Daphnia pulex: one gene and its partner. The protein of the gene in region 1 interacts with the protein of each later gene in a pairwise test. Links are inferred from orthologs where the notes say so. Each region holds a gene or a part of one and is shown on either strand. Other genes may lie near its edges. The genes, in order: ubiquitin-protein ligase E3A-like and tyrosine aminotransferase-like.

What was found.
Region 2: the proteins of ubiquitin-protein ligase E3A-like (region 1) and tyrosine aminotransferase-like interact in binary tests that used the Homo sapiens proteins (3 or more experiments, as listed by UniProt). The link is inferred for Daphnia pulex from reciprocal best matches to the Homo sapiens genes UBE3A and TAT.

What each region holds. Positions count from the first base shown.
Region 1 is NC_060025.1:1,158,743-1,173,990, reverse strand, and holds the start of ubiquitin-protein ligase E3A-like, read left to right. Parts: upstream 1-11,440; 5' UTR 11,441-11,518; exon of another isoform or gene 11,519-11,591; 5' UTR 11,592-11,817; coding exon 11,818-11,858; intron 11,859-11,919; coding exon 11,920-12,085; intron 12,086-12,144; coding exon 12,145-12,273; intron 12,274-12,320; coding exon 12,321-13,115; intron 13,116-13,186; coding exon 13,187-13,357; intron 13,358-13,421; coding exon 13,422-13,757; intron 13,758-13,835; coding exon 13,836-13,889; intron 13,890-13,951; coding exon 13,952-14,306; intron 14,307-14,374; coding exon 14,375-14,487; intron 14,488-14,552; coding exon 14,553-14,833; intron 14,834-14,894; coding exon 14,895-15,029; intron 15,030-15,097; coding exon 15,098-15,218; 3' UTR 15,219-15,248. Other genes in the region: uncharacterized protein LOC124202141, read right to left, coding at 1-157, 316-459, 592-751, 6,706-6,747; crustapain-like, read left to right, coding at 9,292-9,396, 9,477-9,620, 9,694-9,930, 10,010-10,092, 10,235-10,358, 10,428-10,585, 10,717-10,930. UniProt on the Homo sapiens protein: E3 ubiquitin-protein ligase which accepts ubiquitin from an E2 ubiquitin-conjugating enzyme in the form of a thioester and transfers it to its substrates.
Region 2 is NC_060028.1:8,536,985-8,552,221, reverse strand, and holds tyrosine aminotransferase-like, read left to right. Parts: upstream 1-6,612; 5' UTR 6,613-6,750; exon of another isoform or gene 6,751-6,759; intron 6,760-7,524; 5' UTR 7,525-7,601; intron 7,602-7,794; 5' UTR 7,795-8,082; intron 8,083-8,152; 5' UTR 8,153-8,267; coding exon 8,268-8,289; intron 8,290-8,307; exon of another isoform or gene 8,308-8,466; intron 8,467-8,536; coding exon 8,537-8,704; intron 8,705-9,220; coding exon 9,221-9,325; intron 9,326-9,634; coding exon 9,635-9,702; intron 9,703-9,775; coding exon 9,776-9,934; intron 9,935-9,992; coding exon 9,993-10,184; intron 10,185-10,243; coding exon 10,244-10,326; intron 10,327-10,404; coding exon 10,405-10,474; intron 10,475-10,529; coding exon 10,530-10,658; intron 10,659-10,729; coding exon 10,730-10,813; intron 10,814-10,877; coding exon 10,878-10,976; intron 10,977-11,032; coding exon 11,033-11,230; 3' UTR 11,231-11,590; downstream 11,591-15,237. Other genes in the region: serine/threonine-protein kinase grp-like, read left to right, coding at 3,402-3,502, 3,557-3,780, 3,842-3,926, 4,051-4,490, 4,552-4,979, 5,042-5,260; histone H2A-like, read right to left, coding at 5,487-5,682, 5,742-5,949, 6,094-6,115; ell-associated factor Eaf-like, read right to left, coding at 12,370-12,623, 12,696-12,869, 12,961-13,410, 13,457-14,834. UniProt on the Homo sapiens protein: Transaminase involved in tyrosine breakdown. Converts tyrosine to p-hydroxyphenylpyruvate. Can catalyze the reverse reaction, using glutamic acid, with 2-oxoglutarate as cosubstrate (in vitro).

The DNA of each region.
Region 1 (15,248 bases):
CCCAACGTAGTGCATGTTAGCTGAATTGAGGTATTCGGGTGGTAAGCGGCCAAACCGAATTCACAAACGCTCCAGCTCGGCGTTGTTGATTTGACGCTTAATGAGATGGTTCCATTAGGAGCTGCTGATAGGACTGAGAGTGGTCCTGTGCCGCAAGCTGAATATTAAAAAGTTGCAAAAAGAAAAGAAATTAACCCAGGGAAAATCATGCTTGAATGATGAGGACTTGAAGAATAGACAAATCGGGAAAAAAGTAAAAGTATATTATTATAATTAGCAAACTCTGCGCTAATAAATATCGTGATTGAAACTTACTATTTAGAGTTTCAGCTGGAGGCAGTGGAATTGCTTCTGGACAGACCGTGCAGTTGGGGCAAACAGCACAAGCAGCACAATCTGGGCACGGCTGAGTCAGAAGATTGGGAAAATAACCGAAAAACGGTCCCAAACCTTGTTGTCCTGTAAAGACGACGATACAATTTAACGTGTTATTTAAATACAAATGAATGTTACATGGGGATCACGGGATCACGTTCATTCGTTCAGTGTACGATGGTGAAATATATTTAAAAAATAGCCTTAACAGCTCACCGATCATGGGATTAATTGGCGAATTCGATTGACGGGGACCAGGTCCAAAACGAGATTCCATCACGGGTTGAACGCGGTAAAAAGGAGTAGGAAACAACAACTGTTTCGGCTCTCTGCCGGTGGAGGTGGCAGTTGCTGAGGCCAGCCAAACAGCTGCAATCTAATTGAACATAAATGATCACAGTTACATTTTTAGTAAGCAATGATTTGGTTGACATGAAATGGATTACAGTTTTTGATACAACAGTAAAAGTTTAAGATTCGTTATTGTCTTTCTCTAATACGTTGTATGATAGCATATGCATAGGTTATAAATAACTAGACAAATGATCAACACACTTACCAGCAGGGGAAAGAAGGTAACCAAGCAGCATTTCGCGGTCATTTTCTCTTCTCAGTGCTATTATCTGGTGCTAAAGAAGATGATAGGCAGGAAGAAGATTCGAATGATGAAATAATGAAAAAAAAAGTTCACTATTTATACCCAAAACTACAAGAAACAAGGCGTGGTCTATTTTTTCCGTCAACTTCTTATTGGCCGGGACTTAATGTTGTTGCATTGAGAAAAAAATGTTTGCCTGTCGTCAAACCAACAACCGATTATAAAAAGATTCGAATTAATGGCGATTAATGGGCTAAAAATATAACGCTCGTCAGCATAGCCTTGCATGTTGGAAACGATGTTCAAAACAATAATTCACCTTGATCTTCAATTCAATTAGCGCATCGAATTTCTCAGTGCTATAACTGGTGACAACGAAGTTGATAAGCAGGAAGCAGATTTTCGAATGATGCAATAATGTTGAAGAGTGGTCTATTTATACTAAAAATCTATTTCTATTTTCCGTCAACTTCTTGTTCGGGCATAACATTATTTCATTGAGGAAGCCATGTTTCCTGTCGTCAAGGAGCGATCGAGGACATACATTAAGTGAATAATGCTCAGCTATGCAAGCCGTGAATAGATACCGTGATTTTAAATTCAATTGGCGCATAAGGCTATTTGTGCAAGATTTGAAATGGCTGGCATTACGAAATATCTGATCCACCGCCGTGCAGTGCCGGCGGTTATTTTAATGGCTAATCCACTTTCCTCCTGATGTGGAACTTTTGAATATTACTTTTATACTGAATTATTCTTAAAATAAATGCATTCAGATTTTCATTACTTTCTCAACATTTCTTACCTTCTCCAATCGTTCTCTGTAACCTTGCTATCTGAGATGTTTTGGTAATGTTCTCGTCTGAAGGCCCATTTGGGGTTGGCTCCATGTTTTGAAGACCGGTTTTCTGTCTCCCGCGGTCACGAACTCCTCACGATGAACGCTTCTGGTCAGCCCTGCATGCCTTTTCTGCCGTAACCTTCGTTCACAGACAAGTTTAATTTTAGAATACCTGTTTTTAATAACTGGGGATCAGTGTTCTTTTAATTTAAGCGTTCCTACGGATCGAATGACCGGTAACAAAATATTTTAGTTAACTCAACAGACGACTTGGGCGACAAAAATTGTTAATACAATTAATAATATGCAAGGACGAATTTATAAATACCTGATTGCCACTTTGCCGTGCATGTTGGCGCTAGGATTGATATAATTACACGGCAAAGTGTGACGTTCATTCCGAATAACAGGTTAGAGCTGCTGTCAAAAGAATCCTGTATTAGATTGAGCGCATTCCTGTAAAAGTCGTGAGTGTTAGTGTTTAGTTCTAAAGGTGATAGCCAAATTATTCCAACTCGTTCCCACTGTCGCTATGCCATCTTATGTGAAATGTTGTCAAGGGCAAAGAATCAGAATAAATTACTCGGCTAAATACTTGTCTCGTCTCTGGCCGTATTTGGACTAATTAAAGAATGAGAATTGAGCAGTTTCCTCATCAACGGAAACTTATCTTTTAGTTGGGTTAACATAGTTGAATACTTTCCTACGTATAGCCAATCATGGCATATCAATTATCAGAGGCAACAATGACGGCTGTTGAGCAACAAGTTTGAAACGGCGTCCTTGATGAGCTCACAATAACATTGCTGCCTTCCGTAGTTTGGAAAGTTTTCAACCAACTTGACCATAGATATTAAAGGCGAGTCTTGATTAGGCGCTTCTCAATATAGAAACCTACGCTCAGTCAACGACCCCTGAACAAATAATATAGTAGCCTATCCCCTATCACAAATATTTAAATAACAAATGTAAAGTTCGTCGCAAAATAAACGCAGAGTTAAAATAGCTATAAAATATTATCACATATTTTCTATTGATTTTGATCAATAGTAAATTAAACTTGTGCATCAGGATGAGTCACTGACCTAGAGCGAATTCATAACAAACTTGGACAACAAAGAATCTAGAATTGGGGATAGAAAATTACTTTTAATACAACATCGCAATAATATAACAATTCGCAAGATCGTAACTTAACGTTTAACTGGCTATCAGTACATCTGGTGATGATCGGCGACTCCTACCAATTATTCCACGAAGAACATATTCATTTACCGGGGATATCCCTTTGAGAAAGGCGTGTCTATGTACAAGGACAAGTCATTACATCTTTTAATGTATGCGCTGGCGATACAGGTTTTTTGTACGCTCGACAGAATGGAAAGCGCCTATAGCTCAAGGTTCTAAGCACTGACCTCAACATCCAAAATAGAACTCTGCATTTCCATTTCTAGAAGAAGAGCAATGTGCTGGGTAGTAAGTTAATAAATAAAATAAACAGGGGATCTAAGATTTTAAGGCCCTCCAAATATTTCCTTTGTTTTTAACGACGGGGAACAAAAAAGAAAAATAAATAAAATGCACCTTTTTTACCTTTGGATGTTTGGCTGGATGGCGGAGCATGTTGCTCAATCGCGTCTGATCTCCTTCGCCGGAAGTAAGAAGAGCAAGAGCAAAGATGGCCATTTCAGCTCCACCTGCATTCACAGCCAGTCGGGACGAAACGTAAAAGACCCAGGGAATACCAGCTGGCGGTGGCATTTGGTTCTCCGTCACCCACCTAGTACCTAGTTCTTCGAATTCCCGAAAATGTTTGGATGATTTAATGCACCCCATACTCGTCTGTCAACTGTATCGTGGGAGTAAAAAGGTTTCTTTACCTCATATGGTATAATTCGTGATGAAGGGGCTTTTGAATTTCATTTTTGTTAAACCTGCAGCGACAGTTCATTTGATGGGGGCTTCATTAGTGTCAGATATTAGATTCCTTCACTGCAAGTAATTCATCACCAGAGCCAATTGTTTTCCCCAAATGTCCGTTTTATCGGCAAAGATGCGTTTTACAGCATTCTCGCCGATGTCGGTCGTGACCTGCAGATTCTAGAGTCTGAAAAGAGAATTATTTTAACTTTAACACTTAGTCACAAGTTGCTAATGTCTTACTTGGTCTTGCTCAATAATCTTGCTTTTCACGTAGTAGTAAGAGACTGGCTGTAGAACATGATGAATGAAGAGATCAAATGTTATCAATCTTAACTTTCTTCGCTGGTGAACCTGGAAAAGTAATCCAGGACAATCCCAATGTAGACTATAGGTTGGAATTCTTCTTACTTTGTTAAGTACTTTTTTTGTCATCGGATTCTTCCAGAGCAGAGGTGACTTATATTCTACAGTCACACTGTACTTGAAAAGCCTTGCCGTTGTGACATGCTGTGGAGATTATTAGTGATTTTGACCCAGACACAGCACACAATCTTCTTGTAGCACTGAATTTTTGGGGTAATAAGGGAGACGTAAAATCTAATGCACATGGGCTGTTTTGTTTCCAACATTTTCCTCAATTTGACTGCTTTGTCTCATCCACGTTTACATGGGGTTACGGAAAACCCATGGGTAAGACATGTTAGGCAATCGAGAAACAAAAGGAAACATTGGCGTGAACGGACTCATTAGCCAAATGTTCACTATGTATAATCAAACAATTCAATAATGATGAAAAATTTGCAGCAATATGGTCATGGTTTATAATTACGACAGCCTCAACTGTGCTGTGGAGTGCCTGAAAACTTTGGCACATTAGAATGCAGACGAACTTCCGTGTACGGAAAGCGAGATTGACTACTTGGATTATTTTTTTTCGGCGCGAGTTATGAACGTCATAGGCGAAACACGATATTGGATTTTAAAAATGAAACAAAAATCACAGCTCTTCTCACAGGTGCCTTGCTCTTACTAACGCAGGTAGCTTCAAATCTAAATTTTAATGAATTTGACTTTTCGGACCAACTTCTTTTCTATGGGTGTTCTATAGTCATACAGTTTGAATCGGCTAAATTTCGTGCAATTATATTAATAGAATAATATTTATGTTGTATAGAGAGCGAGATGTGTGAAGGTTAACAATGTGGACGAACATTTATACAAATTCTGCGACTTTTTGAAAGTTTTTTTGAGCTTGGGCAGCTATATAGCTGCTAAGAAAAGACTATTTATGCATCCATCTACATACATTGGTGATGGTATTCAGTTGTGTTTTACAGTGCGTCGTTTCATACTAAATTGCTGCTGGTGACGGTAAATTATGGGGAAAGAAAGTTTGGTCTCGTTTAGTGATCCTATTTACAGTCGATTGATAGTGCCAGTTCTTTATCCCATATCACTATCCCACTCGGAGGTCAAAAGCTACTTTTTAAAAATTTCATAGATAAATTGTTTGTAGTATACATCAAGTTGACGAAGCAAGGCTAATACATAATTAGATTGCCGATTTATAAGAGAAAATGATCGTGAACACAAATGTATCCTGCTGCTATAAATTATATTATTGTCCAATCCAGTATTGAGCGTTAAAGGGGTTATTTCATGGTTACATTATAAAAGAAAATTCAAAGTACGCAACGATAATGATACACGAATTATTGCAGTGTCCATAAATCAAAGTTACGTAAACGTGACATGTAATGAAGATACAGTGCCAGAGAGCTTTCAGACAATCTTCGGGTTTTTATGCCTGTGGTACGTTTTCCCAAACGCATTCGGCTGTGAGATCTTTGTCGGTGCCCAAATTGTTATTGAAATTGAACACCAGAAAGTTCCCCTTTGAAGTGTAAGGTGTGTTGGCCGCACCCACTGTAACTGGCGTAACAAGGGGAATCACCTGCAAAATAAAAAGGCAATTTTTTTTTGCATGAAATAGTTAACATTGTTGTGTTTTTTTTTAAATAACTAGATGTCATACGGAGAGCGTGGTGCTTTCCCCCAACGAGGTGCATGTAAGCTGGACATTGGTTTTGGGGTAATAAGCGACCAAAGCGTACGCGCAAACGATGCTGCTTTTTGTTGCTGTTACGCTAACGGAGATGGTTCCGTTGGGAGATGCTGACGCCACTGAGTCTGGTCCTTCGCCGCAAGCTGAATATTAATAAAACGTTGTAATAATATAAAAGGAAACCGAAAATCAGCATATAGAAAATAATATTTAGATGAACAAATTTTCAAAGTAAAAAAACATACGTAAAAAACAGATTGTAGGTATGCTATATCATCAATTAAGAACTTACTAGTAATAGCTCCGGCTGGAGGAGGTGGAATTACTTCTGGACAGACCGTGCAGTTGGGGCATACATCACAAGCAGCACAAGCCGGGCACGGCTGAGTCAGAAGATTCGGGAAATAACCGAAAAACGGTCCCAAACCTTGTTGTCCTGTAAAGACGACGATACAGTTTAACGTGTTATTTAAATACAAATGAATGTTACATGGGGATCACGGGATCACGTTCATTCGTTCAGTGTACGATGGTGAAATTTATTTAAAAAATAGCCTTAACAGCTCACCGATCATGGGATTAATTGGCGAATTCGACTGACGGGGACCAGGTCCAAAACGAGATTCCATCACGGGTTGAACGCGGTAAAAAGGAGTAGGAAACAACAACTGTTTCGGCTCTCTGCCGGTGGAGGTTGCAGTTGCCAGCCAAACAGCTGCGATCTAATTCAATATATAAATTAACAGTTGCATTAGTATTTACATGGTTAACAGTTAAAAATGGTATAACAGTAAAAGTTTAAGATTCGTTATTGTCATCTATAATACGTTGTATAATTGCATATGTATAGATAAATAATAGTTAAATAAATAGGCAATATAGTTAAATGATCATCAAACTTACCAGCAGGGGAAAGATGGTAACCAAGCAGCATTTCGCGGTCATTTTCTCTTCTCAGTGCTATTATCTGGTGCTAATAAAGAAGATGATAAGCAGGAAGAAGATTCGAATGATGAAATAATGAAAAAAAAGTTCACTATTTATACCCAAAACTACAAGAAACAAGGCGTGGTCTATTTTTTCCGTCAACTTCTTATTGGCCGGGACTTAATGTTGTTGCATTGAGAAAGAAATGTTTGCCTGTCGTCAAGCAACAACCGATTATAAAAAGATTCGAATTAATGGCGATTAATGGGCTAAAAATATAACGGTCGTCAGCATAGCCTTGCATGATGGAAACGATGTTCGAAACAATAATTCACCTTGATCTTCAATTCAATTAGCGCATGTTTGTGCCAAGATTTGAATCTATGGAATTACGAAATATGTGATCCATCTTATAGGCCTACGCACAGCAGTGCCAAATTGCTAATTCATTCTTGTCATGTGGAACTTTTATCCGTTTCAAATTTTACTTTAATTTAATTATTCTTAAAATATTAGCGAATATTAGTTATTCAAATTTTACCTCTAACCTTGCTATCTGAGATGTTTTGGTGATGTTCTAGTCTCAAGGGCGTTTGAGTTGGCTCCATGTTTCGAAGACCGGTTTTCTGTCTTCCGCGGTCACGAACTCACGATGAATGCTAACGACCAGCCCTGGACAACACACATTTAATTATAATTTAGAATATATACAGAAGGACGAAGAGAATATCTGATAGCCAATTTGCCGTGCACATTGGCGACGTAATTACACAGCAGCGGGCGATCATTGCGAATAACAGATTAGACGTTACCAATATCTCGTGTTAGTTTTATAAGTATAGCGCGTTCCTATAAAGTCAGGAGGAGTTCTAAAGCAGATATAGCTATACATATTATTCCCAGTGATTCCCACAGCTGATAAAGACGGTTGCTATGTGATCTTGTGCAAATTAGTTGTCAAGGGCAAAGAAAAAACAGGTCCATCGGAATAAATACTCGAATAAATGAAATGTTCACACTACATCTGAAAGGACCTTATTTGGACTAATTAAAGAATGAAATAGGCATTGAGCAGTTTCCTTCCAACGGGGACTTATTTTCAAGTTGGGTTAGCATAGTTGAATATTTATACTTTCCTCCGTAGAGCTTACATAACCAGTCATATAGCACTAATCACTTATATCAATTAACAGAGCAATGGCGGAAATTGTTCAAGTTATTTATAATAAACGAGTTTAGAAAGTTTTCGACCAACTTGATCATGGTATTAACCGTGAATCTTTATTTGGAATTTCTCAATAAACAAACCTACGCTCAGTCGCTCAGCATTCAACGACCCCGGAACCGAGCCCAGAACAAATAATATAGGAGCCTATCGGAGCCTATATAGCCTATACATCACAAACATTACATTAAGGAATTTTGAGTTCTTCATAAAGCATTAATAAACGCGGTGTTGAAATAAAATCACTAGTCTAGATTTCACAGTAGAAAGCTTTATTAATTCACTTTTTGTTAGTTGAATCGAGTTGAATCGAGTATAGTAGTATTATTGGCATACTACATATTTGTTTCTGCCCACTTGTGACAACTGTTAAAATATCTGTATCAATATAGGCATTCACTGTAATCAGGTGTTGTTTTCAGAAACGTGTTATCGGTATATATTCGAGGCATGGAGACTCTGGCTACCTTTTCCACTGGCTATACCGATTCGAGTCCAAAACGAGTGCTGCTATCCTATTTCGTAATGACAATAACGTTACACTAAAATTACATACACAATAATCGCACGTTACCATTTAAAATTTAAAATATTGAATCACGCTTAGGCCTATCTGACTGACTTCAATTGTCATTTTTTTTTTGTATTCTGTGACCCGGAGCATGATATCTTCACTGCAACAACCTGGTGAACCGATTTTGGGAGATGGATTGTGTGCAGCTATATTTGTGTAGTAGTTAATGGGGTTAATGCTGGGTAAGCGTCATTAATTGACATATGTCTGTCAACTCGGCTTTCTGCCCATGTGTGCCAACTGAGTGTGTGTGCCAGTTAGAATATCCGAGAACATCAGTGAAATAGGATTCAGTGTCGATAGTCGTTTATTTACTTTATAGATAGATTGCTATTGATTTATTGTAGTCATATATACTGGCTGAACGCTTTCGTGGCTATAGTAAATATTGGCATGTTTTTATGAGACTAAATGAGTTAGCTGTTGTTCACCAAAGCAGAATGCGTACGTGCTCTAGATTCTGTAGCATATGGCTGTGCGCAATAGACTGATGCTGAGTAAATTAACAACTGCTTTCCACCATTTAAGTCAACGCGATATCAGTATATAAACTGATCGATTCCAGTTACAAAAGGTACTTCGTACTTCGTCGTTCAATCGAGTCATCATCTCTACTTTTCACTGAAGCTTCAAAGGTAAGTTGGACTAAAACCAGCACACAATTGGTTTTTATACTAAACATTTTAGTTAATAGATGAAATAATTGTTTTCACTGTTGTCTATTTCTGAATTGCACACTTTTTTACTCCTTTACATGATAAGAATGGCGAAAATGGGCTATGTTGCATTGGCTTTAGTTGCAATTTTCTGTATTGTTCACGTCCAGGGACTTTCTGATGATGTAGAAGCTGCATGGGAACAATATCAGGTATAAAAACCGAGATAAAAACATAATGGCCATGATTTGGGACTGTATTATTGCATGGCAAATTGTTTCTTAATTTAAAGGCTCATCATCCGAGTAACACCAAATCCCACACTGACGCTGCAAAGCGCAAAGGAAACTTTGTTAAGACACACGAAATGATCCAGAAGCACAATAAGAACAAGAATGCCGCATACCAACTAGAACACAATGATTTCTCTGTCATGGTTTGTTATTGTTACATATTTTTAATTAAAAAAAAATGGGAAATTATTAGTTCATCAATCTTTTAAAAAATAGGATGAAGCAGAGAAAAAACTTTACACTGGGGCAGTTGCTCCATCAGGTTCGAGATTTCTGATTGCCGATCAGCAGTTGGATGATTCTATGCGCCAGATACCAACTTCCGTAATTATTTCTTTTTTCCAAATCCGTTTTATATCTATAATCATATATATTGAATCAAAATGTATTACATCATTTCAGTTGGACTATAGAACTAACACCTGTTTGGCGCCAGTTAAAAATCAAGGATCGGTAATTTCTACAATCGATAACCATCATTATTAACAAAACTGGTTTCGTAACTATTCACTTCTTTTTAAAATATTTACAGTGCGGAAGCTGTTGGGCTTTCACTGCCATAGCGCCGCTTGAGTTCGCTCAATGCAAAAAGAGTGGTGCAAAAGTTATTTTGAGGTAATTATCATTTGGAGCAATATATTTGAGTCATTTTTCGTGTCAGTGTGGTGTGCGAAGAAAGGTTCGTTTCGATACAGGAATCTTTATAATCGCTGAAAAATGACATTTTGCTCAAATAGTTAACTATTTTCACTATTAGCGAACAACAACTGGTCGACTGCGACCCTAACAATGGTGGTTGTAACGGCGGATGGTATACAACCGCTTGGGAATATCTAAAGAGTGGATCAGCGAGACAGTCGGCCTATTCTTACACTGCTGTTGTAAGTAATTGATTTGTTTGTTTTTTTTTTAATTGAAAAAATCTTCCTATACCTTTTTATTATCTACAGAAAGGAACTTGCAAGTTTTCCACGTCCACGATTGGTTCGAAAGTCGCTACGTACGGTAGCGTTACATCCAAATCACCATCCTCAATGCAAGCGGCTCTCGTGAGATACGGTCCCCTTTCAGTGGCTATCACCGTCATCAACTCCTTTTACTCTTATAAGTAACTATATTTCCAAAAAAAGAAACACTTTTTTTGTTAAATATTTATTTAGCCTATTAATTATCTGTGATGTCGGATGAGAATTTGTTATTCATCTAAATTCTGTTTCTCCAATTCAATTTGTAAAATAGGAGCGGCGTTTACACTGATGCGGCGTGCGACAATAAGGGCGTGAATCACGGTGTGGTTGTCGTAGGATGGGGTAATCTTTCTGGAGTTGATTACTGGATTGTTCGTAACTCATGGGGATCCGGATGGGGAAGCTCGGGCTACATTTTAATGCAGCGGGGTGTTAACAAATGCAGTATCGAAACTTACCCAGCCGCTGTTGCATCCGTCGTCTGAAAACATTAAAAGGTCATCTTTTCTACGTAAACAACCATTGAAGAAACAAGTTCTTTTGGAGATTTTTCTTATTTATGTTTCACTGTCTGCAAATCTGTGTGGGTCACAGACTCACAGCCTTTTAGATGATGAGCGTGTTAATTTTATATAACTACTAGGTAAACTTGGGATACAATACACATAAATCAGCATAGATAAATCGAAATTCTGGCCTATTCTTTTCGCTTCTCCATAAAGAAATGTCTGAAATATGATCCTTCTCGAAAAAACCCCGTTTGAAATTCATTTTGTTTCACCTCAACGACAGGTATCGAAATTCGAGTTGTCTGCGGCGGTCTTAATTAATTCCAAAATATCACACGAACTACTAGTAATTTTAATCCGGATCTTTGAGCGTTAGAATTGTCTTTAGGTTCTGAAGTCTAAACAAGATAGACCTCATGAATTTTTGTTAAACATAGGAACCCCCCAAAAAATTAATTAAATAAAAATTAGTTGCACAAGGTTTTAGTTTTACTATCCGATCATAGAGGGCTTTTGTCGAGCAGCACATTCAGTGCGCGAAGTGTTGTCAAAGAATTTCTCTGCGTAAACGAAATAGCTAATTTTTTTTGCCATATTTGCCCGAATAACGAGAATTCGTTTTCAATATTAATTGCAGGTTTTGAGCTATTTACGTTCCACTGGTCAACGTAATTTCAATCAAAACGCGTTTTCCCAAATCAGGAATCGTACAAAGTTGTAAGCAGATAATGGCTCGAATTCCATTATGCTAGTCATCTGTGTCCCTTTTTCTTTCGGTCGCTTGAAGTTTATCAACTACTCACGGCCTTCCGATTGATTTCATTGACGTAAATTATAATCATTAAGCCAAAAGTAATTGCAACATGGCTGAAAATGGTAAAAATGATGGTGGCAATATCTTGAGGTATTTGGCAATTTTAATATTTAGATGTAACCAATACTAATGTTTGTTTTTGACATGGTAGTGCTGGGGACAGTCAAACACTGGACAAGCGTGTTGCAGCTCGTCAGTTAATCAAACGTTATTATTTCCAGCTGACTGAAGGATGTGGTGACCAAAACTGTAACAATGAACATTGTGCCTCTAGTAAAAAAGTTCAAAATCTTTCTCCAAACCAAGCTGCTGCTCAGGTATCAACATAAAAAATAATTTTAGAAGAAGCCAGTCATTGATTGATTATATTGCATAGGCTCTGGATTTATTTGCCCGCAAAGGAAGGCTTTGTGTTGGCACTGGCAAGAATGAACTACCGAGCACATTGTTTCCTGAAATTACACCTGCTAGTACTAGTGCCATCTCTGATCAGCAATTGCTCAAAGTATTTAACCAATTGTTTCATTTCAGTAGTCTCATTAATCAGGCTAGATTTCCAATTTGAAGCAGGGATTGTGGGTTCCTCCAGCTCTGAGTGTGTCTGGCCATCCTGCAAATGACAAATCAGGCATTTCCAAACCAACCAAGTTGACAGAAACAAATTTTAAGCAGATCGTTGACAATTGCAAAGAATATGGAATCTATTCAAAGCTAGTTCACACATTGGGACATGTCTTTGCCAATCCTGAGCTGTTGGGGAAGAGTTTTATTACGCAAGGAAACAACTCATGTACATCTACATTAGGACATGGCCAGCTAAGTAAAGAACAACTTCGCTCGATGGAGGTGGATTTGGATAAAGATAAAGACAGCCAAGAAGCCGTCGCAGAACCTCGTCTCCAGGACGTTGGCCAAGAAGTCAGCGTTGATATCTGTTGCGTCCGCCGATCATTCGAAGTCTTGAGCTCCATCGAGCCACAAAACTACGAAAGCGCCTTAGTTCACGCCCTCATTCTTCTATGCGAAACTATTGAACTGGATATGAAATTCGGGAGGCAAAAAGCTGAAGTCAATTTGCTCAACGTCTTCGTCATTGTTTTCGAACTACCGTGGCTTGGCACTGGTGACTACTTTGAAAGTGTTTTGCCGACCTTATGCCGCGCCTGCGCTCTTTTACCTCTAACCCAACAAGCCACTCTAGTCCGATTTTGGGCGGCTCACAGTGTCCCCAATCTAAGAAATCTGGTCCAAACACTTCAACAGCTCATTAGTTTTAGAGTGTTATCAGGAGATTTTGGGCGAGACTATGCCATCAATGATGACAATACTATTACTGCTTGTGTCAAGGTATAGTGGTTTAAATATTGTTTTGCAATGCTTACCCCTCTTATTCGTTGATTTTCCAATTTGTCTAACAGGTGATGCGAATACTGTACTGCGTCAACATATTTTCTTGTACCACACCTAGCAGTAAGTTGACTGGTGCATCAGTTGACGCGATGGAAACAGACGATCCTTCTAAAGATTCCTTCGATGTCTTTTCGTTTGGAATCGATCCTTCCCCTAGGTTGGGTTCCAAGCAAAACAAGGTAAGCTTTGACTGACATTTCGAAACAAAATTTGTTTTGATCCATTTTTTACTTTGCTAAATAGACAAGAAAGAATGATCCACTTATGTCGGAACTTGGAGTCAACGTTCTTGACTGTCGACAACCTCCGGTCGCTTTTGCTGACTTCTACAACGAACCGCTAAGTGATGTTGTTGAGATGGATCGTGATTTTGCCTACTTTGCCGCTGCCTCCGAAGCCCCTCCTTCGGCTTCCAACAATGCATTGAAGATTAGTTTCATGAACTTCCCATTCATTCTTACACCGGCCGCCAAAGCCCTCGGTCTCTATTATGATAACCGTATCAGAATGTATAGCGAACGTCGTCAAAGTATTTTCAACAGCGTCATGAACGGACAACCAAGTAATCCATATCTAAAGGTATTTATCCAATAGAGGTTTTCTATTTCTTAAAAAGATTCTAACTAAACTTACTTTTTTCTATCCCTATTTCACTAGTTGAAAATTCGACGTGATCATGTCATCGACGATGCCCTTATTGGTTTGGAAATGGTAAGTTTCAATCAGGGATCTAATTAGGAAACGTCCTTATTGACTAATTACTTACTTAACAGGTAGCCATGGAGAATCCTTCGGATCTCAAGAAGCAATTGGTGGTGGAATTTGAAGGCGAGCAAGGCATTGATGAAGGTGGTCTGTCGAAAGAGTTTTTTCAGTTAGTCATCGACCAAGTTTTCAATCCCGACTACGCCATGTTTGCCTTCAACTCCGACACTCGCAATTTCTGGTTCAACCCTACGTCGTTTGAAAGTGACGCCCAATTTACGTTGATTGGCATCATGCTCGGATTGGCTATTTACAACACGATCATTCTAGACATTCACTTTCCTATGGTTGTCTATCGTAAGCTTCTTGGTCGTAAAGGGACATTCGAAGACCTTCAAGAACTCGATCCAACTCTTTGGAAAGGTAAGTCTAATTTTCCTCTAAACAAGTCTAAGTTTATATTTAAAAGTTTTGTATTTTTGCGTGAAAAGGTCTGACAGAACTTCTGGAATACCCGGATTCTGACATTGAAGAAACACTTATGCAAACGTTTAGCATATCTTACAAAGATGTGTTTGGAGTCGTTTACAATCATGACTTGAAGGTATTTCAATTTTATTTGGCTTGTGAAAAATTTATTTGCTAAAGTCTATTTTTATTGGAAATTAGGAAAATGGCGCAAGTTGCAATGTGAACCTTGAAAACCGACGTGAGTTTGTCGAACTCTACGCAGACTATCTGCTCAACGAGTGTGTCGGTAGGCAGTTTGCAGCCTTTCGTCGCGGTTTTGCTATGGTAACGGAAGAAAGTCCTTTGGGTACGCTCTTCCGGCCGGAAGAAGTCGAACAATTGGTTTGCGGTAGTCATATTTTCGATTTTGAAGAACTCCAAAACGCCACAGAATACGATGGCGGATTTACTGCTCAATCTGAAACCATCAAACATTTTTGGTAACCACGTCAGCAGTGTCCCTTATGTACATTCTTATTGATGTCCTAATTTTGATTACAGGTCAGTCGTCCACGAGCTAAGTGTCGAGGATAAACGACGTTTGCTTCAATTTACTACCGGTTCTGACCGCGTACCTGTCGGAGGATTAGGTCGATTGAAACTAATAATCGCTCGCAATGGAGCCGATTCAGATAGGTAATACAAGATAGATGAATAATTAATTTAATTAATTAAAATGTATGCTATCCGCAAATTTTTACTAGGCTTCCGATGGCTCACACGTGCTATAACGTGCTTCTACTTCCCGAGTACGATAACAAGGAGAAACTAAAGGAGCGTCTGATGAAAGCAATTGATTACTCGAAAGGTTTCGGTATGCTTTAACATAATGAAATCATCTCGTGTGTCGTATTC
Region 2 (15,237 bases), on another chromosome or scaffold:
GTGCGCAATTTTCATCTTGTTGACGTGAAACATGTAGAAGAGCTCATAACATCACAGTCAAATGGGGAATTTGAATCTCTGAAGGCAGCTTTTCAGATGAATAGTGATATCATCAGTGGCGTATACGAAGGTTAATAACTCCTTAAACCAATATGTATTCATTAAGAGTTTATATTAAAATAATCATTTAGGTGGAATGAAGATATGGGAATGCACACTTGATCTTCTAGATTACTTTGAAAAAAACTTTGTTCAGTTTGATGGATTGAATGTTCTTGATCTTGGTTGTGGTTCAGGCCTGTTGGGTATGTATGCATTGAGCAAGGGAGCCTTATCTGTCCACTTCCAGGATTATGTAAGTCATTAAAAAAAATACATTTTTAAGTAACTTTTTTTAAAAGGATTTCATTTGTCCTTAGAATGCTGAGGTGCTTTCCCTTTGTACAATTCCTAATGTGATATTTAACAATCCAGACCTTAAGGATAGAGCAAAATTTTTTGCTGGTGATTGGGGACCTCTACTTCATAAACTTGATAAATATGATATTATTCTCACCTCTGAAACAATTTACAATCCTGAAAATTATGGAAAATTAATTCGGATTTTTGAGGAAACCCTGAAGAAATCTGGATTGATGTAACTTTAATTTTCACAGAATTATTGTATTTGTGCTTAACATTGTTTCTTTATTATTTTTTCCAGTTATGTTGCCGCAAAACATTTCTATTTTGGTGTTGGAGGAAATCTTTACGAGTTTGAAAAGATGATCCGACAAAACGAAAGGTGGACCTCGTCAATATGTTTTTGCTCAAGCGAAGGTCTGCGCATTCAGCTTTATCCCTATTTCATTGATTAATCTTTTTTTTTGTGTTCTTAAGGTGTTAAACGGGAAATTCTGAAAATTTCCCAGTCGGCAACATAGAGCTATTAAAACTACATGGAATTGTTAAATATTTTGTCAAAATTTGTATGCAAATAAACTTACATGTTTACAAAAATCCCACTTGACTTCCCTTTATCTAGTAACTATTTTTTTCACAATTAAAATACTGCATGCATGCATAAACTTATGTAACATGACTGGATTTTCATGTTAAACTCTTGTTAAGCAAACAAAAGTTCAGATGTTATCGTCGCTTAATATCATAAGCATGTAATCGGCAGTGAAACTAGTTTATAATTTTAAAAATTTTTAGCAGTTCAAACTGAAGACCAACAGAGCATAGAACTGTACTGCTATGTGCTATGCTATTCAAAAAGTGTTATTTAACAATTTTTTTCTTAATCTCCCTAAATTACCAATTAATTATTTAACCTTTTCATTGCAAACGATTTCAACCGTTTCATTAAACGAAAATTGTGAGTCGATTATAAAAAAATTCAAACGTTGCCCGGTTCCCTATCAGAAACAAATGAAAGCTGCCAACCGCTAACGTAATGTCGTCTGCTACAGCTTGAAACCGCTTGTCATACCTGAGTTAGCGATTTCACGAGTCATTCTCTCAAAGACACGATGAGTTCTATTGGTACTGGGGTAATATATTTCAAATTTACTGACTTAAACCTTCTATCTTGATGCTTACTCTCATCTGTGATTTCAGTACGATTTGTCAGCTTCGCAGTTCTCTCCTGATGGCAGAGTATTCCAAGTCGAATATGCCATGAAAGCCGTCGAAAACAGCGGGTAAGTCTACGTCTAATGTCTTCGTATCAGTAATAATAAGTCATTTTTGACAATAGTACTGCTGTTGCCTTGCGAGGCAAAGATGGTGTTGTATTTGCTGTGGAAAAGCTGGTGACATCAAAGCTGTATGAAGCTGGAGCGAATAGAAGGATATTCAATATTGACACTCATATTGGAATGGCAAGTCCTGAAAATTAAGCTGTTTTATGAAACTACAATTAAAAACTCATGCTTTTTCTAGGCTGTTGCTGGCCTTTTAGCTGATTCCAGGCAAATTGTGGAAACTGCCAGGACAGAAGCTTCAAATTACCGTGCTGAATATGGAGGCAATATTCCTGTCAAAGTATATTCTAGCATTGGATAATTTTGATCATTCAGCTAAACTTAATATTTTTAAAAATTAGTATCTGGCAGATCGTGTTGCCATGTACAAGCATGCTTACACTCTGTATTCTGCTGTGAGGCCATTTGGTTGTTCTGTTGCTCTTGGATCTTATGATGAAATTGATGGCCCTCAGCTTTATATGGTGGATCCATCTGGAGTTTCCTTTGTATGCTCACTTTTTCCACCAATTTTTGTTTATGATCTAAAAAATATCAAAATTGTCCATATTTTAGGGATATCTTGGATGTGCTATGGGGAAAGCAAGACAGGCTGCTAAAACAGAAATGGAAAAGCTCAAGCTTAAGGATATGACCTGTCTAGAACTCATCAAAGAAGCTGCCAAGATGTTAGCTCTTTTTTTAACTATTTAATTCAGGTTAATAATTGGCTTTTTTTTTGTACATGCAGCATTTACATTGTCCATGATGAAGTCAAGGATAAACATTTTGAACTGGAGCTGAGCTGGGTAGGTGCTGTCACCCAAGGACGTCACCAGAAAGTCTCTCAGGAGGTGTTTGCTGAAGTTGAGCGATACGCAAAATCTGCACTTGAAGATGATTCAGATTCTGGCAATGATGATATGTGAAAATGGGAAATGAAAGAAGGGACCCGAGTTAATACACTTTGGAATACAATCGTCTTTAATTTGAATTCAAATGAATAATATCCAAAGTTCGCTAACTCCACCTAAATCCAGGTGTAGACCAAGCTTAAGTGTCTAACATCAAGGATTAGTTAAAATTGGAGTATTGTTGCCTAAATTTATATTAATTGCGTAGGGAATTTAACGGAGAATCCTATTACGTATTCATGTATCCGTACATGAAACTGAAAAATAAAATGACATAAATATGTTCACCTTTTTCATCATAACTCTTGTCATAACATTTTTCTAATAATTTTAGAGTATTCGTACCTTTTCTAATATTTTTTACGACGTTCAAGTTTGATTGATATTGTGTAATTTATATTTTACGATTTTAATTCTGAGAAAATTCATACGTGGTTGTGGCGCACATGCCACACCTTTTTACGAACGCACCCCATAACTGGGCGGCAAACAACAGAAGCCAAACAACAAGCTGACGAAAACTAGCGAGTCAAAATGCTTACACCTGTTTTAACATTTTATTAGGAAAATGAATTGGTGCAACTTGTTAAACTAGACTGGAAACTGTGTCAGTGGTAATTTTGTAAAGCAGATCTTCCCTACACCAAAAAGAAACGGAAAAAGTGGTATTTTTGCGATATTTTGTATTCCATTTTAAAGTGTCTAAAACAGCTTGTATCTTTTCAGTTAATCTCGTTGTACAATACATATTTATTCAATCATGGAAGACCAAAGTAAAAAATATGAAGGAAAAAACAGTGTAATTGAATTTGTAGAAGGCTGGGATATGATTCAGACACTGGGTGAAGGAGCTTTTGGAGAGTAAGAAAATTGTAAGAATCATGCAAAATATATAATTTAACAAATTTGTTCTAGGGTGAAACTATTAGTTAATGCCAAAACAGGTGAAGCAGTTGCAATGAAAGTGATTGATCTCAAGAAGCACGCAAATGCTGCTGAAACAGTCAAAAAAGAAGTTTGTGTGCACCGGATGTTGAATGATGTGCACGTGATAAGGTTTTATGGGAGAAGGGAAAATGGCAATTTTGAATTCATTTTTTTGGAATATGCATCTGGTGGAGAATTATTTGACAGAATTGGTAATATATTAATTTTTAAAATAATACTGTCTGCAATGATAACCTGTTACTCTAATTTCAGAGCCTGATGTGGGAATGCCTCAAGTAGAAGCTCAGCGCTATTTCAAGCAGTTAATTGCTGGTGTAAGCTACTTGCATAGCAGAGGGTAATTATCATAACATAACTCAAGTTTTTTCATCATTTTTTAAACAAATGTCCCCTTAAGATTATTTTACCAAGACGCTTTCGCGAATCTCGAACATACAACATTTCTTCTATATTTATTATAGGATTGCTCACAGGGATATAAAGCCGGAAAACTTGCTTTTGGATGCCAATGACAATTTGAAAATATCTGATTTTGGAATGGCAACAGTTTTTCGATTTCAAGGTCGAGAAAGGCATCTGGACAAGCGTTGTGGGACGTTACCTTACATCGCTCCTGAGGTTCTCTGTCGCAAGTACGCAGCAGAGCCAGCCGATATTTGGTCTTGTGGCGTCGTTCTTGTTGCCATGTTAGCCGGAGAATTGCCTTGGGATGTCCCATCTAATGATTGCCCTCTCTACACATCCTGGAAGGAATGTCAGATCACGCGATTGCCATGGACCAAGATTGATACATTGGCTCTGTCATTACTCCGGAAAGTGCTGATGCCGTTGCCCGGGAAACGTTACACTATTCAGCAAATAACTAATCATCAATGGTTTCAGAAGAAATTCAAAGTTCCTAGTATGAAATCCTTGTTTACTATTTGATGCCTTTCTTAACTTCCGACTTCTCTGAATTGAAGGTACATCTCTACGGACAGAGGAAAACATGCCAGTCTCTAAACGCCTATGCTCTGACGTAGTGGATGCTGGTTTATCACCGCCCTCATCCGATGCAACCCATTTGTCCTACTCTCAGCCTGGACTTGGATTCTTCTCCGGTTCTCAACCTGTCCATCAAAACGACACTAACGATGATCAAGCCCCTAACAAGCATCTGCCAGGCGCGATGTTTAGCTTCTCTCAACCTGCTCATATCGACGATATGCTACTGAACTCTCAGCTGAACACACAAACTGCTTCGGGTTCAAGCATCAGTTCGCCTCTCCAAAGACTTGTCAAGAGAATGACTCGTCTTGTGGCAAAAGTTAGCTGTGAAGAAGCAATCAAACATTTGAGCCAACAGCTAATCAAACTCGGCTACACTTGGAAAATTCACACTCCTGGCGTGGTATAACAAATAAAATGCTTAAAGAATATTGTAGTATGTTAACGTTCTTTTTGCGTTCATAGGTAACCATATCCACGCAAGATCGACGGAAAATGCAACTCGTCTTCAAAGCAACGGTTTACGATATGCAGACCATGGTGTTACTCGACTTTCGATTGTCGAGAGGCTGTGGACTTGATTTTAAAAGACATTTCCTAGCAATTAAACATAAGTTGGCAGATATATTATGTTCTGCACCAGTTACTTGGTCCATTGCCACTGCTACAAATAGCATTCCTTAATCTTTCAATTGTAATATTGTTTTTAAATACCAATAATGTTGCATTACACTGATTCATATGTAGCACAAGAGTCGCTTTTATTTATTCTGGATGACAAGGGACTTACAGGAGAATTTGATCAAAAAGTATTAAGACTGAAAGCAATTAAAATGGAAATTCAAAAAATCCTGGAGGTTTGGAACACATTTAGAGATGAAAAATGAATTTAGGACCAAGTTCAGATACATTAATATTCTTGAGAATTGGCCTTTCCTTTAGCAGCCCCCTTGGAACCTCCTGCTGGGGCAGTTTCGGTCTTCTTGGGCAGCAGAACAGCCTGGATGTTGGGCAGCACACCACCTTGAGCAATAGTAACTCCTGAAAGCAGTTTGTTCAACTCTTCGTCATTTCGGATGGCCAACTGCAAGTGTCTTGGAATGATCCTAGAGAACATTTGGATTCAGCAAGATATTCAGACGCATAATTGAAATAAGGTTTCTACCTGGTCTTTTTGTTATCTCTTGCAGCATTTCCTGCCAACTCCAAGACTTCAGCAGCCAGGTACTCCATCACGGCAGCCAGGTATACAGGAGCACCAGCACCCACACGTTCAGCATAATTGCCTTTGCGAAGCATACGATGGATACGGCCGACTGGAAACTGAAGTCCAGCACGGCTCGAGCGAGACTTGGCCTTAGCCTTTACTTTACCTGTTTTGTTAAACATTAAAGTAATAAAAGAACAAGGACTTTGTGCTTTACAACAAGCGGCATACAGTCACACAAACAGTTCTTGGTATTCAGGGAAAAATTAAGAAGAAAAAAGGTTAAATAAAAAACGTGGATTTTCCTTACCTCCCTTTCCACGGCCAGACATTGTTTGATTATTAAGTTTTAAAACGAAAAAGTCCAAATTGTAAGAACCAAAGACAACCCTAGCTTTTCGGCAGACCTTGCAGGAAGTGACGTCGAAACCAACCGTTTTCTTTTTTCATCAACTCTCTCTACAACAGGCACGCCATCTGCAATTTCTTTATTTCAAGGCGCGAAAACTACGAATTAAAAAGGTAAATTTTTTGAAAACTTTTAGAGAAGGAAAAAAATTGTTAAATGCGTATGAGAAATCATTTTGCAGAAATTACGTAATATTTTAAGTGACTTGTGCTACTTCGGTTCTGATAATTTTCCAAATTAAATAATGGCAATCGGGTTGTGCCTTGGGCGGCAGCATGTTGCAGAAAAATGGACCACACGGGGTTGTTGTAATACAATAAGCAGCGTAGGCAACTTATTGGCATGCTTGAAAAATGTTTCACGAGAACTGCACGATGAGGTGTTGAAAACATTAACAATGTTTTATTACTTATTGGAATTGCCATATCAAAACCTTGTAACTATATTTGAAGAATAGTCGATTGTTTTTGCAGTGCCCAAATATTTGCTTGGAGGAAAAAAGTTATTAGGAATTGTGTTGTCCCAGTCCATTAGATTCAGAAAATATGATAAAATAAGGTAAGAAACTTTCAATCGCTATCCTTTTTTTAAAGTAATCAAAGTACACACAACCGATCACGTGTAACAGAGTGAAAAACAGAACGATGGCGAATGTGTTGTTTTCGTTAAAACATTTTGTAACAATTGCTGAATATGTGAGAAAAACTTGTAGTAGTTGTTTTTCTCGTACTACTACCAAATCTGTCGGAGAAAAACATCAACAGGTTTCTCAAAGTCAGACATTTATTCACAATCTAAATTTCGTAAAGGTTGGGGGGACGATATTTGCATAAAGATACAATTTGTTAAAATCGGAAACGATGTGAAAAGGCGAATGCCAAAGCTACGCAAACGGTCCCTTTTTCGTTCAAGGCCCATTTCTAGCCAAAAAAAAATCATGTTTTTCCTGGAGGCATAGACGTACTCATCCACTTTTCGGAACCTTGTGCAATGTCAGGTAGGACACAAATCACCAGTTACGTCATTTATAAAGACTAAAAGGCCCTGGCAACAGAATACTAAAAGATGTCAGTAGCGAGCGAGAGCTCATTTATTCAACCTTACATGGAAGTTTTTTTTTTTTTTAAAGAATTTCTTGTTTGGATTCTTTCCCCCCTTTACTGTAGTGGCATCCCACGCTTACGTGACGGTTATGAAGGCCAGTGTCCACATAACCATAAGGGAATTTCTAAATAACAGTATTATTAAGAAATATAATTTTAAAATATTTTAGCTTTTATTGTTCTGACCTTCAATGAAAAATAAAGTCAAGATGATCATTTCTGGTTATAGATTCGCCACCTGTAATTTTCTTCTGTCAAGGGCATCCCGATGGAGGATCTACCTACTCTGTTTTATCAACAATCATGGTAAATTGGTTCAACATTCTTCCAAGACATTTTTAAAAGTAACTTTAATTCATCGGGAGTTGACTTTCACTAATGTTGCATAACATAATATTCAGATCGAACTATATTTCAGCATTTTGCACCTGTTCTAAATCTCATTTAATGCCCCAAGAGAAAATGTGTGGTTATCTGCGCTCATTTTGATATATTGCAGCTTCTTCAAGGCAGATTTGGGGAATCTAAGCACGATGTGCATTTCCGAAATTGAAAACCTGTTTTTATTACGTTATTCCAAAAGACTTGCCGTCTACAGGCGTCTACAATTCTTTTTGTTGAACCACCAAGTCAACTGCTCGGCAGTTGTATCAACCATTACAGAGTTGAACGGACCATTAAAAAATCACAGTTACAGTTATTTTGTTTTCAAACTTGTCAGTTAACTCTGATAAAAAAAGCAACTTAAAACATCGTAGACATTTCCAATCGGAAATCATCAAACGTAGTATACAAATTTTGGAATTCGAAGGTCTTTCTATTATATATTTTTCATTCTCTGCCTTTTTGTTGTCTAGATACACAGGTGAACGAGATAGACCAAAAGGTTAGGGCATATTTTTAGAGGCCCCGCGGGAGAGAGAGAAAAAAAGCTGACCACGGCCCCCAAGGAACTACACGGGCAAGCCCATAATGAATGGACCAATGAGAGCAGGTAAAGTCTACCGTTCCACCAATCTCCGACTGGATTCTCAGCCAGACCCCATTCGTAAAAAACGTTTACCACCTTTTCGGTAGTATATAGCAATCGGGTATCGTGTCGCTTGTGTATACTCGCTCTTGATCGTCGGTCTGCACCACTTTTTGTGCGCGTTCAAATCTCTGTTTTAAGGTTGATTATCTATTAACAACCTGGAAAATTTTTAAAATTAATTCAAGTGACGTGTCATTTTTTCTTTCAGTTAGCTCCAGGTGTTTTAGTTTTGCATCCGTCACCATGAAATCGCGACGAAGTTGGTCTGTGACAGCGTCTGACCTTGCCAGAAACACCTTCAACCCAATCCGGACTGTGGTGGAATCGATGAAATTGACGCCCAATCCCGAGAAACCTATGATTGCCTTGTCTATTGGTAAGCAAAATTAGACTTTAATTTCTTTTTGGCACATTTTTCTGACTATTGCGCAGTTGTTTTTGAAACATTCGCCTTCTGGGGATGTAAAACTGTATTTTTTTTAAGAATTAAAAGAAAGATGCCGCCGGCTTGGCGGCACTTTTTATCAAACAGCTGTGGCATTACGCCAAAATCCATGCAAATTTTCTTTCAAAAAATTTTTGTAACGAAGATCAAGGTGAGATCCTCCCCCTTTTCTTTCACTGATGACTATGTACTTACGTTAAAAATACGTTTATTTTGCTTCTTTTTCGTATATTTTATTTGCCCTTGCCCAAGTCAGCTTGCCCTCTGGTAAGGAATCTTCAAATTTAGGTTTACTGGTGTTGTAGTGAGAGTAATTATGCAATTTCGCTCCAGGTGTTACTTGTGAACTGCGCAAAATATTTTCAACTCTATGATCTCTTGTCCTATTTTAGACCGGTTTCGTCGTTGTTTACAATTTTCTGCATATTTCAATTTTTGCGTTGGTAGGTGATCCGACGATATTTGGAAATCTGTGCCCGTCGGAGGAAATTGTCGAGGCCGTCGTCGAGAGTGTTCGCTCCATGAAATACAACGGCTATGCTCCCAGCACTGGTGAGTTGTTACAATGCCTTGGAGGCTTCGATTGGCCTCCTAATTTCGTTAAGGTTAGGCTAGGTTGAATTCAGTCATTCATTTTCTGAAAACTGCTCTCTTTTCGACTTGATTGGCAACAGTCGAAGGTATGGGGTCAGGCAATCGATTGGGGTCATCAGGTCAAAACAACAAATGATGCTTGTTACATTTTGAAGGGACTGACGAGGGTTCAGCCAATCATCTGACAGAACTTTCTCGTCTTTCCATTTGTTTTTCCCCATGATCTCATTTAGATAACAACCTTCTCTTTCTATCTATGGTCCACAGGCTATGAAGAATCTCGCAAAGTTGTGGCGTCTTATGTCTCCGTACCTGGAGCCGCTGTTGAGGCTAAGGTAAAACATTTGAATGTTTTATTTTTAAAATGTATCGCTCTCCGTTTTGATGGAAACTATTTTTGCCTATTAGGACATAATTTTATGCTCTGGCTGCTCTTGTGCCCTTGATCTGTGCATTTCTGTATTGGCCAACCCGGGACAAAATATTCTTGTGCCTCGTCCCGGATTTCCACTGTATAGAACGTTGGCGGAAGGATTGGGCATCCGAACCAAATTTTACGATTTGAAGGTCAGGGTCATTATCATCTGTAGGCATGAATGTATTATTAACTTTCCTTGTTTTACAGCCGGAAAATGGTTGGGAAGTCGACCTGGAGCAACTGGAAGCACAAATTGATGACCAAACGGCGGCTATCGTGCTCAACAATCCATCTAATCCATGCGGATCCGTGTACAGCCGTGAACATTTGAGTGCCATTCTTCAAATTGCAGCTCGCAATTTTGTTCCCATTATTGCAGATGAAATCTACGACTACTTTGTAATTGAATTAGTTTAAATTTTGTAACGTTCTTTAAATTTTATTTTATTTCTTTTTAGGTATTTCCGGGACACGAGTTTCATCCGGTTGCTTCGTTAACGAATGAAGTTCCCATTCTCACTTGCGGAGGATTGACTAAAAGGTTTCATTTCAATCTATTTCTAGTCAGCCATTTGTTGAAAGTTGAACATTTTTAACAATTACTGTGTGTATTGAATAGGTATCTTATACCTGGCTGGAGAATGGGCTGGATTGTTGTGCACGACAGGAACGAAGCACTATCACAAGAGGTATTTCTTAATTTCTGTTTGAATGAATTATGAAATTAAATTGCGCCGTCATCAGGTTAGGAAAGGGTTGCAGAGCCTTAGTCAGAGAATTATCGGCAGTAGCACCGTCCTGCAAGGTGCCCTTAGTCGAATTCTGACGCAAACACCACCCGAGTTTTTCCAGTCAACCATCGCACAAGTTTACGTAAGAATGATCTTTGCTTATCCAAATATTTTATTCTGGGTTATCTAATGCTCTCGTATGACCTATAACAGGATAACGCCCAACTGGCACATCAACTACTGTCTGGCTTGCCTGGAATGAAACCAATCATGCCTTCCGGGGCAATGTACATGATGGTAAACACCATCAAAACGAGTCTAAATAAGGACTTTTATTTATCATCGGGTTTTTATTTTTTAGGTTGGTGTAGACATGACCAATTTCCCCGAGTTTGAAAACGACTTGCAATTCGTGGAACGGATGGTTACGGAACAATCTGTCTTCTGTCTTCCCGGACGAGTAATTACTTTTAATTCTTTTTCTACAACTTGATTTGATAATTTTATGTTATTCAGTGCTTCGATTACCCCAACTATTTCCGCATCGTCTTAACGGTACCCGAGCTACAACTGCGTGAAGCTTGCCACCGTATTGGCCAATTTTGCACGTCCCATTTTGTGGCGCCCATCAACCTGGGAAAAGAAGAAGCAATGTCCAACAACCACATTCACCACGAGCTGCACAATGGAATTGTCACAATCATAGAGCCTTGACACCTTAACGAGAAAAAAACAGATTTGATTTTGGAATATTTTTATCAGTAGTCTTCTACTAGTAGGCGTTTTTGCATCGGTTCGTGCAGAAACGGAAATTTTTGCCGTCCACTTTCACCCGGTACAACATACAACTCTCCCATCCATTCACCAGTGGATCACCTGGACGCAAACGTATTTCTATTTTATAAGGTGCGATATTCAACGATTTAAAGTTTCGGAAGATTTTTAAGGTTTTGACAAAAAGTTAATAGCTACTATTATATACAAATTCTTGCCGATTATGTAACGTTACAGACTAAGTAATGTTACAAGCCTAAAATAAGAAAACAAAACCCAATACAATTTTTTAAGACTAAACTTCCGTGTATTTATTTTTATTTAAATTTGACAGACCTAAAAAACACTCTTGAACATTTCTGAAAAAAAAAGATATAAAATTTTTTTTTGCTTTTTGATGACACGCAAGGGGGATAGGGTAGTAAGAGGATGGTAGTAGGAGCTGAAAACGATACAACGCTGGCTTTCGTGTGTGGGGAAGTCGGATTGAGAATTGGGCTTTTTCCCTATTAATCATCCTTTTAAATATAATTTTTTTGTTTCCTTTTAAATAATGTTATTTACAAATTGTTGTTTAAATGCAGCAGAAAAAAACAAACATTCGCTGCATGTGTGGGTTGTGGAATTACACGGGAGAGAAACGAAACTAGAGCAGCGTGAGAAGCTTTTTGTTTGTTTTGAATGATGACGTTTCAATGCATCAGTAATGACTTTGTGAATGAAAAGAAAAAAAAAATGAAAATAAAGTTCATAAAAGCGAATCGATTTGGCAACGATCCTTGAACTAGGGGCGAAGCAATCTTCATCCAAAAATGCCTAAGCTCAAGCTGCATCCAAGTTGCCTTCTCTTTGAAGATTCTCTGGAACAGCAAATATTCAGAAGGAAAAAAAAAATTTAAATAAATCCATCAATAATAATTGTAAAAAAAAAAGGAAAAGAAACAGAAAGGATCATTTGAAAGGGTGGGATCTATCTGTCGACTTTTAGAAGTTCACCACCATTTTGGCCCACTTGTCATGACCAGATTATGTGTTGTGTATGTGTTGTGTATGTGTGTTTGATAATGTGAAACTTGCCCTCAAACGGGCGAGGGATTAATTATTTCATCAAAAGTAATTTGTTGGCACTGAGTTCCACGATGGCCAGACGCACCGCAGTTAAAACAAGAGTTATTGCCCGGAATTGGGCTAGGACCGCCAGCAGAGGATTGAGAACCAGGGGGTGGTGGTCGGCTATAATCCGTGGCCCCACCTTGGTCAGAGCGAGCCATGAATAACGGTGGTAAGTACGGTATTTCCATCAGAGACGGGCGACCATTTGCAGCACTCGATCCTATAAGAGTCCAAAACGACATTTTTACATCAACAAAAGACTTGACAGAGGACGAAACTTTATTTTGCATACCGTGATGAGAACCAAGAGGTTGAGCGACGATTTGACCCACATAGGATTGGGGCGAATAGATCATGTCGTGTGGACCTGGTGCCCGCGTATTGCCGGGAAGTCCGGCAGAGTTTGGCGGCGGTCCCGAAGTAATAAAAGTGAACGGATGCTGCGGAAAAGGTTGAGTTCCGTCTCCTAGTAGTTGATATAAAAATGAAGTATTTTGACAGAAATGAGCCACAGCTCTTCTTCGCTTCGTTATTTCAACTATTTTCAAGTAATTTACCATTAGGCAAATGTAGATATTGGTACGAGTAGACTGACAGAGTTGGAGCAGGAGACTGTGCCGGCTGCTGTGTTTGTTGTTGGGCTACCCCAGCTGCCTGGGCTTCCAAGTGAGGCGGGGGCGTGCTGCTATCGACAATGAAAGACGTGCCCTGCACTTGGGTTGAAGAAGGTTGGACGACCTGCTTCTGTTGCTGTTGAGCGGGTTGCACAGCATAAGAAAGACTGACGGGGAAAGACATTTCTCTCGGCTGCGAAGCTCCTCTGCTAGCCGTCGTTGAGATTTGCTGCTGTTGCTGCTGCTGCTGTCGCATCGGACCACCAGCATTAGTGTTGGTCGCGCCCATCGGTCTTGGGAAACCAATGTTATTGGCACCGCGCAGCGAAGCATTGGCCACCGTCCCCGAATTGGGCAGACGAGTCTGTGGTCTGGTTCCTGTTTTACAATAAACTAACATGATTGTGAGATATGACTTGAATCGAGATGTTCAGAATACCTGGATTGAGCACCATCACAGTCTGGGGAACTGGATAGTGTTTTCGATGATTATCTCTAGGGGCAGTGCTACTCGAATCTGTCGGGCTGCTCGGAGGGCTGCACGTTTCCAAACTACTGCTACCACTGCTCGATGATGATCCTGCTCGATTAGTTAATGAATCTTGCTGCAGCTGCTGTTGGTGATTCTGTTGTTGTTGGTGATGATGTTGCTGCTGTTGATAATGCTGATGTTGTTGTTGTTGCTGCTGCTGCTGATAATGTTGCTGATGTTGTGATGGTTGGTTCTCGATCGGTGTTGTCGCAATTCGCTGACTGTTGTTGAAGGCTGGCTGGACGTTGGGTGGGCCCATGCAGGTTTTGACCAAACTCGGCCGCGTTGCTGCTGTCGACGCTGTAGATTTGCTGTTGTTGACTTGCTGAACCACTTTGGTCTCTTCGTTGGGTATTGCTAGACCGCCGTTCGACTTGTGGTGGCACTGATTCAGCACCTTACGCAAGTGACTGATGAAATTCGGGCTAAGTCCACAACTGAGAAATTCCTGGTCGCTGCAGTTTATAAGCTCGGTAGAATTCAGGTGCTCAAATTGTCTCCAATGTTTGGGCAGACGGTCTTTACCCAATTGCTCCTTCAACTGGGTGGTGACAGAATCCACATTGGCAGATCCGTTTGACTTGGGGCTGTTTCGATTGCGACGAATCGTTGACCGATCATTCTGACCAGTCTTGATTCTACTATTGCTATTGGTACTGTTGTGGCTGCTGCTGCTGCTACTGCTGCTGCTGTTGGATCCATTGTTGAGAGATCGTTCTGAGATATCTGGGGGGCTGCTTTGAGGCTGCGGGCTAGGAGTTGATGTAGGGACAGGAGAGACACTGTCAGAGGTTGGCCTGAGCCCAGGTAAGCGAGATTGCATGCATAGGTAGATATCTCCCAGTTTAACCTTCTCTTCAAAAGTGAAACTAGGGTGATGTAGTGCCATAGTAAAAATCAGATTTAACTCCAAACTGGACTCGAAGGTGATGTCTGGACCAAACATTTTCAAGTCAGAGCAGGTGCTGCACAGAATCCTGTAAATGGTGTGGGCTACAATCCTGTTACCAGCATGGAGCAGAGTGAGAGCCAAGATGAGCTTCCTGCGGGATCCCTCATCATGCAAGTCAACTTCATTCAACTGCAGGCAGTTTTTTTCCAATGCTGCAAGGATTTCTGCATCTCTGGCTGATGGTGTTTTATTCCTGGCCAGGAAATCAACGCATGTGTTGAGAAACCGTAGCTCGAGCGGTAGACAGATAGAGGCCAAAGTGCAGAGGACATCCAACCGTTGGTGGCTGGGCTGACGCGAGAACCAAACGACTATCTCCTCCTTGCGCACCATTTCTCTTCTCGTCGGCAGGGCCCGACCGTCCGCGGGTTCAAATATATTTAAAACTCGCAAGCGACGTCAACACGAATTTCAAAAAAAGTTTCCCTTTACTTCAACTGCTCAAAGATATATAAATGCATCGAATATGAGCTAACGAATCGACTCGACCAAAATTCCTTTTTTACTGCAATAAACCGACATCTAGTATAGGAAGAAATACGGTTGCCAGATCTCTTTTTGAAATTTGCATTAATATCGCTAATTACATTTAATCCTTTTAAATCCCTTTACTTAAATATCATTCAAGCCAAACGTAAATTTTTTAAATATTTTTATTCCATGAGAATTAATCTAACTCGTAATTTAATTTTTTCAGGTCGAAAATCGTCGCGTGCAATTTCGTGACCTAAATATA